Linked DNA regions of Drosophila melanogaster. The protein of the gene in region 2 interacts with the protein of the main gene of each other region in a pairwise test. Each region holds a gene or a part of one and is shown on either strand. Other genes may lie near its edges.

The links.
Region 1: the proteins of Art9 (region 2) and CG14506 interact in a two-hybrid assay, tested with the Drosophila melanogaster proteins (one large-scale study listed by BioGRID).
Region 3: the proteins of Art9 (region 2) and RpL23 interact in a two-hybrid assay, tested with the Drosophila melanogaster proteins (one large-scale study listed by BioGRID).

Annotation. Positions count from the first base shown.
Region 1 is NT_033777.3:29,295,131-29,298,884, forward strand, and holds the start of CG14506 (uncharacterized protein), read right to left. Parts: upstream 2,051-3,754; 5' UTR 1,965-2,050; coding exon 1,925-1,964; intron 1,864-1,924; coding exon 689-1,863; 3' UTR 31-688; intron 1-30.
Region 2 is NT_033777.3:13,941,656-13,945,050, forward strand, and holds Art9 (arginine methyltransferase 9), read right to left. Parts: upstream 1,806-3,395; 5' UTR 1,748-1,805; coding exon 1,631-1,747; intron 1,577-1,630; coding exon 1,347-1,576; intron 1,288-1,346; coding exon 693-1,287; 3' UTR 583-692; downstream 1-582. Other genes in the region: Art6 (arginine methyltransferase 6), read right to left, coding at 3,044-3,395.
Region 3 is NT_033778.4:22,852,248-22,856,001, reverse strand, and holds RpL23 (ribosomal protein L23), read right to left. Parts: upstream 1,620-3,754; 5' UTR 1,590-1,619; intron 1,523-1,589; 5' UTR 1,486-1,522; coding exon 1,473-1,485; intron 1,356-1,472; coding exon 1,144-1,355; intron 558-1,143; coding exon 360-557; 3' UTR 308-359; downstream 1-307. Other genes in the region: inaD (inactivation no afterpotential D), read left to right, coding at 49-240; CG13531 (uncharacterized protein), read left to right, coding at 2,305-3,366, 3,461-3,754.

The DNA.
Region 1 (3,754 bases), about 15 Mb from region 2:
TAAAGGTCGCTCTCGCACACTCGTATTTACTGTGGAAAAGGGAGCTCCTGATTTGTTGCAAGATTTCTTCGTAAATGGCATAAAAAACTGCTCGAGAAACAAGGCGACAAGCCGTGGGATCGCCGTGGCCGTGGCTGTGGATCGTTGTTAAGATTGTTAATGGCACCCGACCTGTTCACGTCCACGCTCACACAATGTTGGACAATTAACACGGCCCAGCAAGAAGAAAGCCAGGTTTTTGGAGGCACATCCTTGGGAATGTCGGGCAGAACAGAGGCCGCGCTACAGAAATCAAGGCCCCCTATTTCATCGCATTTATCGCATTCCCGCGCCCCCTCTAGGAATTGTTCATATTTTGTGTATCATTCGGTCAGGGGCAGTACCGTCATCAGCTGATCCAGGGGATTAATTATGTTGACAGGTTGCTGCGATTCAAGTGCCTTTGAATTGGAATTGGAACTTTTTGTGTAATATGTTCACGTTTCATTCAAGCAGCTCCATTCATATCTTCCAGGAATCTAAGTCACATCCTTCGGCTTCCCTCAATTTAGAAAGTGTCCGACTTATGTAATGTATGCCATTTCCTTATAATGAAAGTGTTCTTTGAAGTTTCTTGGGAAATATTGCTTAACTATTGTTATATTGAATGATATATGATATGATAGATATGATTTGCATTTGGTAATTCCTACTCTTTCTGTGCGTACATCTGATCCGCAAACATCGAAATGCTGGGTCGGTCTTTCATCTCGCTGAGCTGTAGGTCGACGTAGTTCTTGGTCCGCCGATAAGCTGCCACATTAGTGTAGCAGTGATGGACATAGTTCTGACCCAAACTGGCTAGAACGGCGTAGCGGAGATCTGACTTGGAAACTTTTCGAAGAACAGGTTTGGGCTTAGGCACTAGGGGAGTGATCGGCAGAAGGCTCGGCAAGGATGGGAGCACTGGACTAGAGGCAGGAGGTGGTGGAGGTATTTTAAAAATAACTTTTGGAACGGCTTTATCACTAGGAGTTTGTGGCAGGGATGGGAGCACTGGACTAGAGGCAGGAATTGGTGGAGCTATCTTAAGAGTAACTTTTGGAACGGCTTTATCACTAGGAGTTTGTGGCCACTTTGGAGCTGGTGGCTCGACAGACTTGTGGGGCACGGCAGCCAGTTTCTTCCGTATGCTCAGTAGGAGCTTTGCCGAACTGGAAAGACCCTTTTCCAGGGCCCTCACCTCGTCTGAACTGGGTTCGAATTTCAACAAGTTAAAGCTCCAGCGGGAGATTCCAATGTCATTGGTTAATGCATAGGCATAGTTTCGATCAGATTTTACGGCGGTAAATGGACTATAGGACGTGGGTTCTACCAGTTTTTGAAGAAGCAATGATCTGTTAATTGGTGGCTTCGAATTCTTCTCTAAAGATTTGTGACCACTTTGTTTGGCGTCGTTTTTCTCTGCCTGCCTTACAGGAGCTTTGTGTGGCTGCGTTATCGTTGCCTTTGGTTTTTTTATGGTCCCAGAGTTTTGCTGACTTCCCTTATTTGTACTTTTTTCTTTCGCCTTGCGACAGTTCAATCGGTATCCCTTGATCAGATGTGGATTCGATTCGATGGCATGCTCCATGTATGAAGTGCGACTAAACCGCACCATGGCGTAGTTAAAGTTACTCATGCCATTCCTCACGCTGACCCTCTCCAAATCCCCAAATTTGCTGAAATAGGTGAACACATCCCGATGGGTAATGTCCTGGTCTAGGTCGGGAATGAACATCAGGCGATCGTGTTCCGGCTCGGGAGGCCGTCGTTCGGGTGGCTGGACTACCACTGTGCCAGGTTGGTACGTTTTCACCTTCTCTTGTAGGGAATGGAAATTTGCTAGGATTGTGGATAATTCAAAGTCCGTGAGAAGCTTAAAGTCCCCGATAGCCGTTCTCACCTGCCTTTTCCCCATAGACACTAGCTGGTTCCCTGGGCATGGCTTCCCCCAGCTGGGATTCACTAATCCTTGCTCTTTTTGGCGAAGGACACGAATCAAGTCCAGGCAAGTCCAATGGCGTGTTGGTCACTCCCAGGGGTTCTAGGGAAATCAAGGAGCTCCATGAACTATCCATGCTTTTTAAAGCCAAGTTGAAATATACTTGGTTGATAGACAAACCCAAAGCCAACTCTGATCAATGACTATTTATTATAAGAGTGGTGAAGTGGGGAGTTTTCCCTTAAAAATTGCCATTCATAGAAATAAATTCCCTAATTTTTACGCAGAATCTAAAGTCTTTCCCCTGAGGTTTCCCCAAATCCTTAAAAGTCAAACCTACTCAAACCTTTCCCATTGCATAAATGAAAATTGCACTTTCAGTTCATCGAGGCCTGGGAAAATTTTTATCCGTTTCGCACAAGGAAATGATTTGCCAAACTGAGCACAAATATTTTCATCGGAAATTTCATAAATATTTTATGAAACTGTAGGATCAAAGTCAAAGCCCCATTTAAGGTCCCCAGAGTGGCTGCCGTGCCATGAATGAATATTCGTAACGGTCGGCATTCCGGCTGCGATTCATGAAACTGTTGCCACCAAATCGTGGCCAAATGAAAGGAACCAGTAGGCCAAAGGCAAAAACCCAGCTGGAATGCGTTGGCAGTTTGAATGTCGCCTCAGGTGACAAATTGCAAGGCTTGCACAGGTTGTTCAGGTTGCACATAGCCGGTGTAAAAAGGACGACGACTCAATGACGCGGCAGGTTTCGTCGAAAAAATGTGCCATTTCGCACCTCCATAAAAACGTGTCCCGAATGGGTTTCCCTGTCATTTGCCATCAATGGACTGGGCGGCCTTCGGTTTCGGTTGCATAATGTTTGACTGCTGGGCGGAAAGTTGCACATGGCTTCTAATGTGCGATTTGCATTCGCAATCGGTCAAGGGTGCACCGGATGCGATGAATGTTTACCCAACTCGCAGAAATCAGGGCGCGCATCCCTTTCACGAATCCATCTGCCAGTGCAGATCCTGCACATCCTTTGCCACCCAGGTTACGTAAGCCATAAACAAGTGGACCATGGCGGACTAATAGACTTGTTGCCAAGGCCGCAGAGATCGCCTCCTTCTCACGCCTCGACTGCATCCGGGATTCCAGCTAAAAACGCGGCAATATCCCTCAGATACTCGGATACTTTGTGCGGACGTGAACTTCAGCCGTTTAGCCATTCAGGCATTCATTGATTCATTCATGAACATTCGCCCGCAAACAATAAGGACACAACTAGCAAATCTCTCTCGAGCACTTCAACGAACAATGAGGAGCCCAAGCAAATTTCGGTACGAGGACATTCAGTGTTCTCACGTTCATTTCGGCGATTTCCTTCGTCTTTGGGTGTTTTTTCGGCTCTTTTTTAATGTTGGCTTAAACCTCAAGTGACCGAGGGTTTGATGATGATTATGATGAGCTCACAGAGAATTTGCGAAAAAAAAAAAAACTAAACGAGAGAGGAGAAAGGAAAGCGGATACTCAGCCACTCAACCGGGTGTCCCGGCATCCTCATCATCCGCCGATCATCCCGGATATAGTTCGATATTTTTTGCGAGTTTCATCATAACGAAATTCCCTGAAATGCCCCAAGAACACATAATAATCAGAAGATAATGCCGTTGATTATCTCGGGAATGTCTATTCATCGCCTGGCGCTGTGTCCTTCGAGTCCTGCCGCCTCGAATTTCCCTCGCCGTGTGCGGCCTGCCAAAAAGTGAGAATTTATGAGGTTTTCACCAGCGC
Region 2 (3,395 bases):
TCTAGAACGAAAATATATTTTTAAGCGAAGAACTTAAATAACCCTTTTTTCCACAGTGCACATTCAGCAGACGAAATGTCACTTAAGCATGTGAATGGCCGGGGTGAATCGGAATCGAGATCCGCGAACGGATTCCTTTCGCTGGGCTAACCAAGTGCGATCTGGGATCAGAGCTCGGTTATGAGATCAGAACAAAAGAGCTCTCACTGCAAACGAGGCCGTTGGAATAAAACCCAAACCCCAGAGCCAAATCACGACGCACAGTCTGGCAAGACGATTGCGGATGGTCGATGGACGATGGTCGATGTTCGATGGTCGGTGAATTATGCGCGACATCATTTTAAATCGTTGTAGCAACGTCAAAGCTAAACACCGATCAGGTCAGCCAAAGAAGCCAAAGCAGCCAAAAAGGAGGGCCTACACAAAAAATAAGTCAGTCAGAATCGGTGGCAGAACCCGACACACAGACGATCCCCAGCCAGATCCCTTGTCCAGAACCATTGTCTTTGGGTAGCAGCCGCCCTAATTGATGCAGCACGGCCATAAATTTCGATCGGCCAACGATCCCCAGCCTGCTCCCCTAGCAGCGGCAGAGGGTCCAAAGATTGCCATGAATACATCAACAAGAAGAGCCCCCTTTTATTTCGCTCAAATCCACATCATTCGCATAGTACCGAAACATCATTGTGCTCTCATGGATTTGCGACTGTGGAACTGCCCAAGGAGAAGGAGTACTCCACTTCGCGATGCTCATCCGGCTTGTAGTACATCCCAAGCTCTCCGATTACCAGCTCACATTTGGCCACCTCGACGGGATTATCCATAAACAATATGGTTTGGCGCACATAGGTGCGAGGTCTCTTGGGACCAGTGGAAAACATGAGCCTAAACTTTCCCCTCGGCCGGCAGAGTCCAATATCTGAATAGAGCACCACGGCTCCAAGTTGACTGTCCCTCAAGCCACGCAGCTTGAATGGAACCCTGAAGCTCTCATCATTTATATGGGCAGTGCAGAGATCGATGGTTTTCAGAAGGTACTTTTCGGTTATCAGCTGCTCCTTGGCAACGTAATCCTCTATCAGGGAAACGGGTTCTCTGACCATATAACTACGACCAGGATAATCCGACTGTGGAAGGATATTCACTTCGACAGTCTTACGCGGATGATCCGCAATTCCGCAGACAAAAAGTTGAGCCACATTGGGTATGATAAAACCACCCTTAACCAGCCACTTTTCTCTGGCAAAGATCACCTCCTTGAAAAGTGAGTCCACGAAAACAGAGTGACTGTGAAATAAATAACTGAAATCTAATTGATTGTAATGTGGCAACTTAGAACTACGTACCCTACCCACTCGGACACTATTATATCGACCTTCTTCAGACCGCAGGGCAAAACTATCTCATGGATATCGCCATCGATAAACTCGAAGATATCCTCCTTCTCAGTGCCGATAAAAGCCTTGCTAACAAATTCAGCACTTTCCCTATTGCCCAGGGCCATAACTTTGACGGCACCCGCTTCCACGCTCATCAAGCTAAGTAATCCACTGCGACAACCCACGTCCAGGACTATCTATTGAAAATCGATCATTTGTATATACATTTCGATAAGTTAACTTATCTTAACCTTATCCTTGAAAAGTCTTTCATAGCGCTTGAAAACCCATTCGTATGCCCTGGTGGAGATTACATCGTTCAACATGCTGTCCGCCATTTCTCTCAGCAGATTCTTCTCCAGATCCATGATTTATATATTATAAGGTATTCAATGTGTCAAACTTTGATAAGCTTCGACTGATTGCTTTAATTGGTATACTCAATACACATGGATATATTCAAAACATAACTTATTTTTTTACTTATATTTATATTTATTTATTTATTATTTATTTATATTAAACTTAACTTGTTAAATTAAATTTGTATAAATTTTAATTTAATTCGACTTGGAAATCGTACCTCATATTATCCTGGTTTCACATTTCACGCCCCAATCAGCCGCCATAAATTCCGAATAGATTATCGCCCGGCATTTCTCACAATTCCCATGCCTTATCGCCATCCAAGTGACACCAATTAGTTATGAGCCAATTGTGGGATCGTACCTTCTTATCAGCGGGAGCAGCGACAGGATACACTGGGCTCCAAAATCCGGGCAAGCGGCTAAGCTGTCTAACGAGTCTCTAATTTATAGGCGACTTGGTGCGCAGTGTCCCGCTCCGTTGACAAATGCCAGCAATTTGATACCCAAACAACAGGAACGAGGAGTAGTAGGATTTGGTCATGGGGTTATACAAATTGAAATGTTTTCTGGGCCTACACTGGCTGGTTGGATGGTTGGCTGACTGGCGAGGATCGGATCGGATCCATCTGGGTGCTGTTTTTGTTAATGCGCCCAGCGGGATGTCCACCGAAATCACCGACGCGGGATGCGAACAAGTGTTGACCGAAAATCAAAGATCGCTGGCTCATTTGTGGCGCTTTTGTGTGCGCTAGATAACCAATATTTTATAATCATGTCCAATAATGGTGTGCATATTAATTTCATGGGCGCATAAAGCAACTTTATGGCCTTTTAAGAACTCCCATTAACAAAGACCAGTCCGTCTGTGCACAAACACAAAACGAGCTGACAAGAGATTTTTTGGGCAACCAAGCTCTCGAGATGCGAGAAGCGAGACAATGCAAATGGCTAAAATAGTAAATAGAGTTATAAACGCATAAAAGGCGTTCATTGTGGGCCCACGGCGTTGGCTTTCACAAATTTATACGACGGCTCATCAATTAATTAGAGCCCGGGGAGGGACACATTTTCACATTCTCCCCTCGGCAATGACCTGGCTTTGAAATTAATTTGTTAGGAAAGTCGTTAACATTTCGTCTGTCCACTTTCTAAGCCCCGCCGCGGATTGATTGTCATAAAAAAATATAAAACCCAACCCTTGGGCAATTGGAGGCCCTAGATTAACGACCCATTTTATGGCAGTTATCAATTCGGTTCAACATTCTTATGTTTTTAAATTTCAAATGAACTTCAGGTTCATCTTGGTGAGGAGAAGCTCTTGAAGCTCTCCACTCGCGTTCTTTCGCCACGGAAGCTGATGTGCAGATCAAAGTTCATGCCACGTCCATCTTGTCCGGTGGGCGTCATGGCCAGCACACCGCGCACCCGATCCCTAATCCTCACATACAGTGGCTCATCCAGATGGAGCACCGTCTGCTCCCAGTGCGTCCATGGCGAATGCGGCGAGGTGGTCAGGCTTACGGATTTGTTCGACTTTCCCGACGGAAACAAGACATCGAAGTACAGGACCAGCATATTGATAATTCCAGTTCGCATGACTTTTAATTGAAAGTTCGATTGAAACTCCACCGGCTGGTTGCGGGCCACA
Region 3 (3,754 bases), on a different chromosome or scaffold from region 2:
TATACAGTGGTAGGAAGGCTCAACCCTAAGTAACTACTTTCTCGACAGATTCAAGGACAATACCCGGAGATAGACAGCAAACTGCAGCGCGGCGATATTATCACCAAATTCAATGGCGATGCCTTGGAGGGTCTTCCGTTCCAGGTGTGCTACGCCTTGTTCAAGGGAGCCAACGGCAAGGTATCGATGGAAGTGACACGACCCAAGCCCACTCTACGTACGGAGGCACCCAAGGCCTAGAGACGATCCTCATTCTCCTCCTCCGGTAGCGAAGCAGTGCAGCAATTCAATAAAAGAACCAACAATTCGAATTCAAAACAATCTGTTTTCCGTTGTGGGTTTATTGAAAAGGAAACTCCTTAGGCTATAGAGCTTGCATTGGATGCAATACGGGGCCACAGATCGGCGCATTCCTTGGCCACCGGTCCAGTGATGGCCGAGCCCTTCATTTCGCCCTTGTTGTTTACTATTACCCCGGCATTGTCCTCAAAGTATATAAACACCCCGTCCCTCCTCCTGAACGGTTTGCGCTGCCGAATAACCACGGCAGGCATGACCTGGAAACAAATGAAAATAGTAGTTAGCAAAGTTGCTCGGCAGTGTGCAAACCTCCTGCTGCATCGGTTAGTTATGCAAAAGTGCGTTGTTATAGGTGGGGGAATTATGAGAAGTGCAGTGAAACCGTTTTATAAACCTTCTTCACTACAATTTTAAATTCTTATCAATAAACAAAAATATTAAAAACGTGAGTTTGGTGCGATAAGCTATCTTAGCCGGCACAAAACATGTGGGGAAAATTTATTGGAAGCGTAAGGAGAAACCTTCCACGTCTAATACAAATCTATCTATATTATCGTATTACTTTACAATGAAATACTCTGCAATTGATAGAAATTAAAACTGCCCGTTCAAAACAAATGACAAATAGTGTAGCACAAAATACGATTATTAACCTTAAGCAACCCAATGTAATAAGAGCTAACTAATTTCAAATTGGCTTCTTTGAAACAGAAACAAGTTGAATTTCATTCAAGAAAACGCACACAAACAAAGTGGAAAAACGTGTTCACTGGGCGGGTTGCTAGCCCATGGGCACTTTTAGCACATGACCGATTCAGCCGGAGCACTGGGCACCACACTCACCTTCTTCCTGAGCTCGGGCTTTCCCTTCTTCACGGTGGCCACGAACATGTCGCCGACACCAGCGGCGGGCAGACGGTTAAGGCGACCGCGGATTCCGTGGACGGCGATCACGTACAGGTTCTTGGCTCCGGTGTTGTCGGCACAGTTCATCACGGCGCCCACGGGCAAACCGAGGGAGATGCGGAACTTGCCTCCCGCGGTACCTCCACGTCCTGGATGAGACCGAAAAACAGAGGGTTATTAGTTTTGCACACCACAACTTCGACACTCTCCACATCCGGCGCGTCACATTTCGCACGCTTAGCGGCGCGGTTCGTTCGGATTTTTACCTCTCTTCGACATTTTGTTGCTCGCGGACTGGTTATTCCAAGATTATTCGCTAGTTTGCCAATGAGATGTTTCAATTATTAGCATTAAAAAAAACGTGGAGATTTTATTATACTTACTTCGCCGGAAACGAAAACGAAAAGGAGGGAAATACGATGTGACCGCCGATCTATCGTAGAAATATACCTCAAAATATCGAAAAAATAACCTAATTATAACCAAGAATGAGCACGGATTGGGTTCGAACTTTGCTAAAATCCTAGCAGGTACTCATACCATCGGAGTTTTACACCCACCTCGAACAAGTTGGCAGGTCTGGCCAATCAGATGTCGTGTTCACACCGGAAATTCCAAAAACTTAATCAGCAACTTTTCTTTTAAAAGAAATTACGTGTGCTAGAAAGGGATGGGGCCATTTTTTTACTCTATCGCTATATTTATTCCACAATATTTAAGTAAATTTTTTTTGAATATCTTATAGTAGATGACATTAAATGATTTGAATATTTTAAAAACTTTACTCTTTGACATTGATAAACTTAATAATAATAATAAACTTAAACTTCCCGTTGTGGCAAAAGGGTAAGAGACAAAAGTTCCTCGACAGCAATGGACTGAACAAAGTTTCAGATATTTTTAGTTAAAATGTGGCTCCATTTAATACAATTTGTGCGTCATTATTTTCAGTGCTTACTGTACTTGCACTCGGAACTAGATAAGGTTCCGGAGAAGAAGAAGCAGAACATACAGCTGTTTTCGCTATTATCAACTGTTGATTGCAACAAAGAGATGTGAAAAAGCCCGCAGAACATTCCAAGAACTCCGCCCACCAAGATGCATTCCGCCCAGGCGCAGGCTCAGGCCCGCGACAAAATCTTCAAGAACTGGAGGGGCATTAGCGAGGTGACCATCATCAAGGAGGTGGCCACCAAGGGCGAGCACATCGACCTGTGCATGGAGTACTGGGCGCAGAAGAGAAAGATTCCCGTTTCGGAGTACCGCCACTACTTCTACGACGTGGTGCAGGCCTATGTGCAGCGACTGCTCTCCGAGAGACTTGTCTGCAAGGCGGAGGACGTGATCCGGAACGTGGACAGAGATGTGAAGTGCTTCTTTTTTCAGTTCGCCTGCGAGTGCCAGGACGAGGAGTTAAGTGAGTTTGTGCTGGATCACCTGCGCAGTCGGGAGCCCCTTATGTACGAGCAGGAAGAGCCAGTACTGGCCTACCACTGGTCCTTGGTGCAGCAACTCCGGGAGTGCGAGGCCTTGGTGGCCAAGCATCGAACACAGCTGCCCCGTGTGCACATAGAAGCCATGATGACATTACCAGAGCAGGCACTGCAGTTGCTCCTCGTAGAATTGTACTTCGCCAATGGCAATGAATCTCTGTTGGGATCCCTGTCCAAAGACATGGTCTGGCAGCACCTGGTAGACAGTGACGAGCAAGCAAAGCTCCAACGCTGGTGTCGCCTTCAGGAGGAGGGCTTTGTGTCCCAGGAAACGCTTTCTCCCTTGGAACAGAGCTTCACCGCGTGGAAAATAGATGCCACCATGTACGAGTACGCCGTGGAGGAACTGCAGCAGCCCAGCGAAGTGCTGCGAAACTTCTTTGCGCGTGCGGGATACTTTTTCATGGACGAGTCCGAAGATATTCCTTCTCTGCTGCGTCGCCTTTGCACCATGGAGTGCTTGGGAAAGCACGCGGATCTCCTTAGCCGCCAGCCACTGGCGAAATACCTGCTGGACCGCGGCCAATACTCGCTGCTCCTCATGGAATGCGTGCCTATCGCCTCGCTGGAACTGCTGGCCGGCACTGAAACGCACCAGGAGCCCCTGATTAATCTAATCGTCGACATAAAAACAAATTCATTGACCGAGAACGAGGGCTTCGAGTTGGTAAGTCAGAACAGATAATGATTCGCAAATATATTATTTACTCTATATTTAAGTGTGTTAAGTGTATAATTATGTCAATTTAAATGTATTTCAGATATCCAAGAGCGTTCAAGCATACTTGGAGAAAACTCACGACACAGTCGACTCCTTCGAAGGGCATCCCCTGCTGACCTTCTACGATTTTCTTGGTCAGGAGCCAAGTGTGCGCTCTTTAGAGGGATTCCTGACCTCTACCAACTTGGGTCGGGTTCCGTATCTCAAATCCCTGATTGCTCGCTTCGATCATGGGCCGACGAGCTGCAATTTCGGCCTACCCACGGCACACGATCTCTTCATGAAGTTCAAACACGTGAATCTGCCGCTCCTAGCAACCGCTGGACATGGTGAA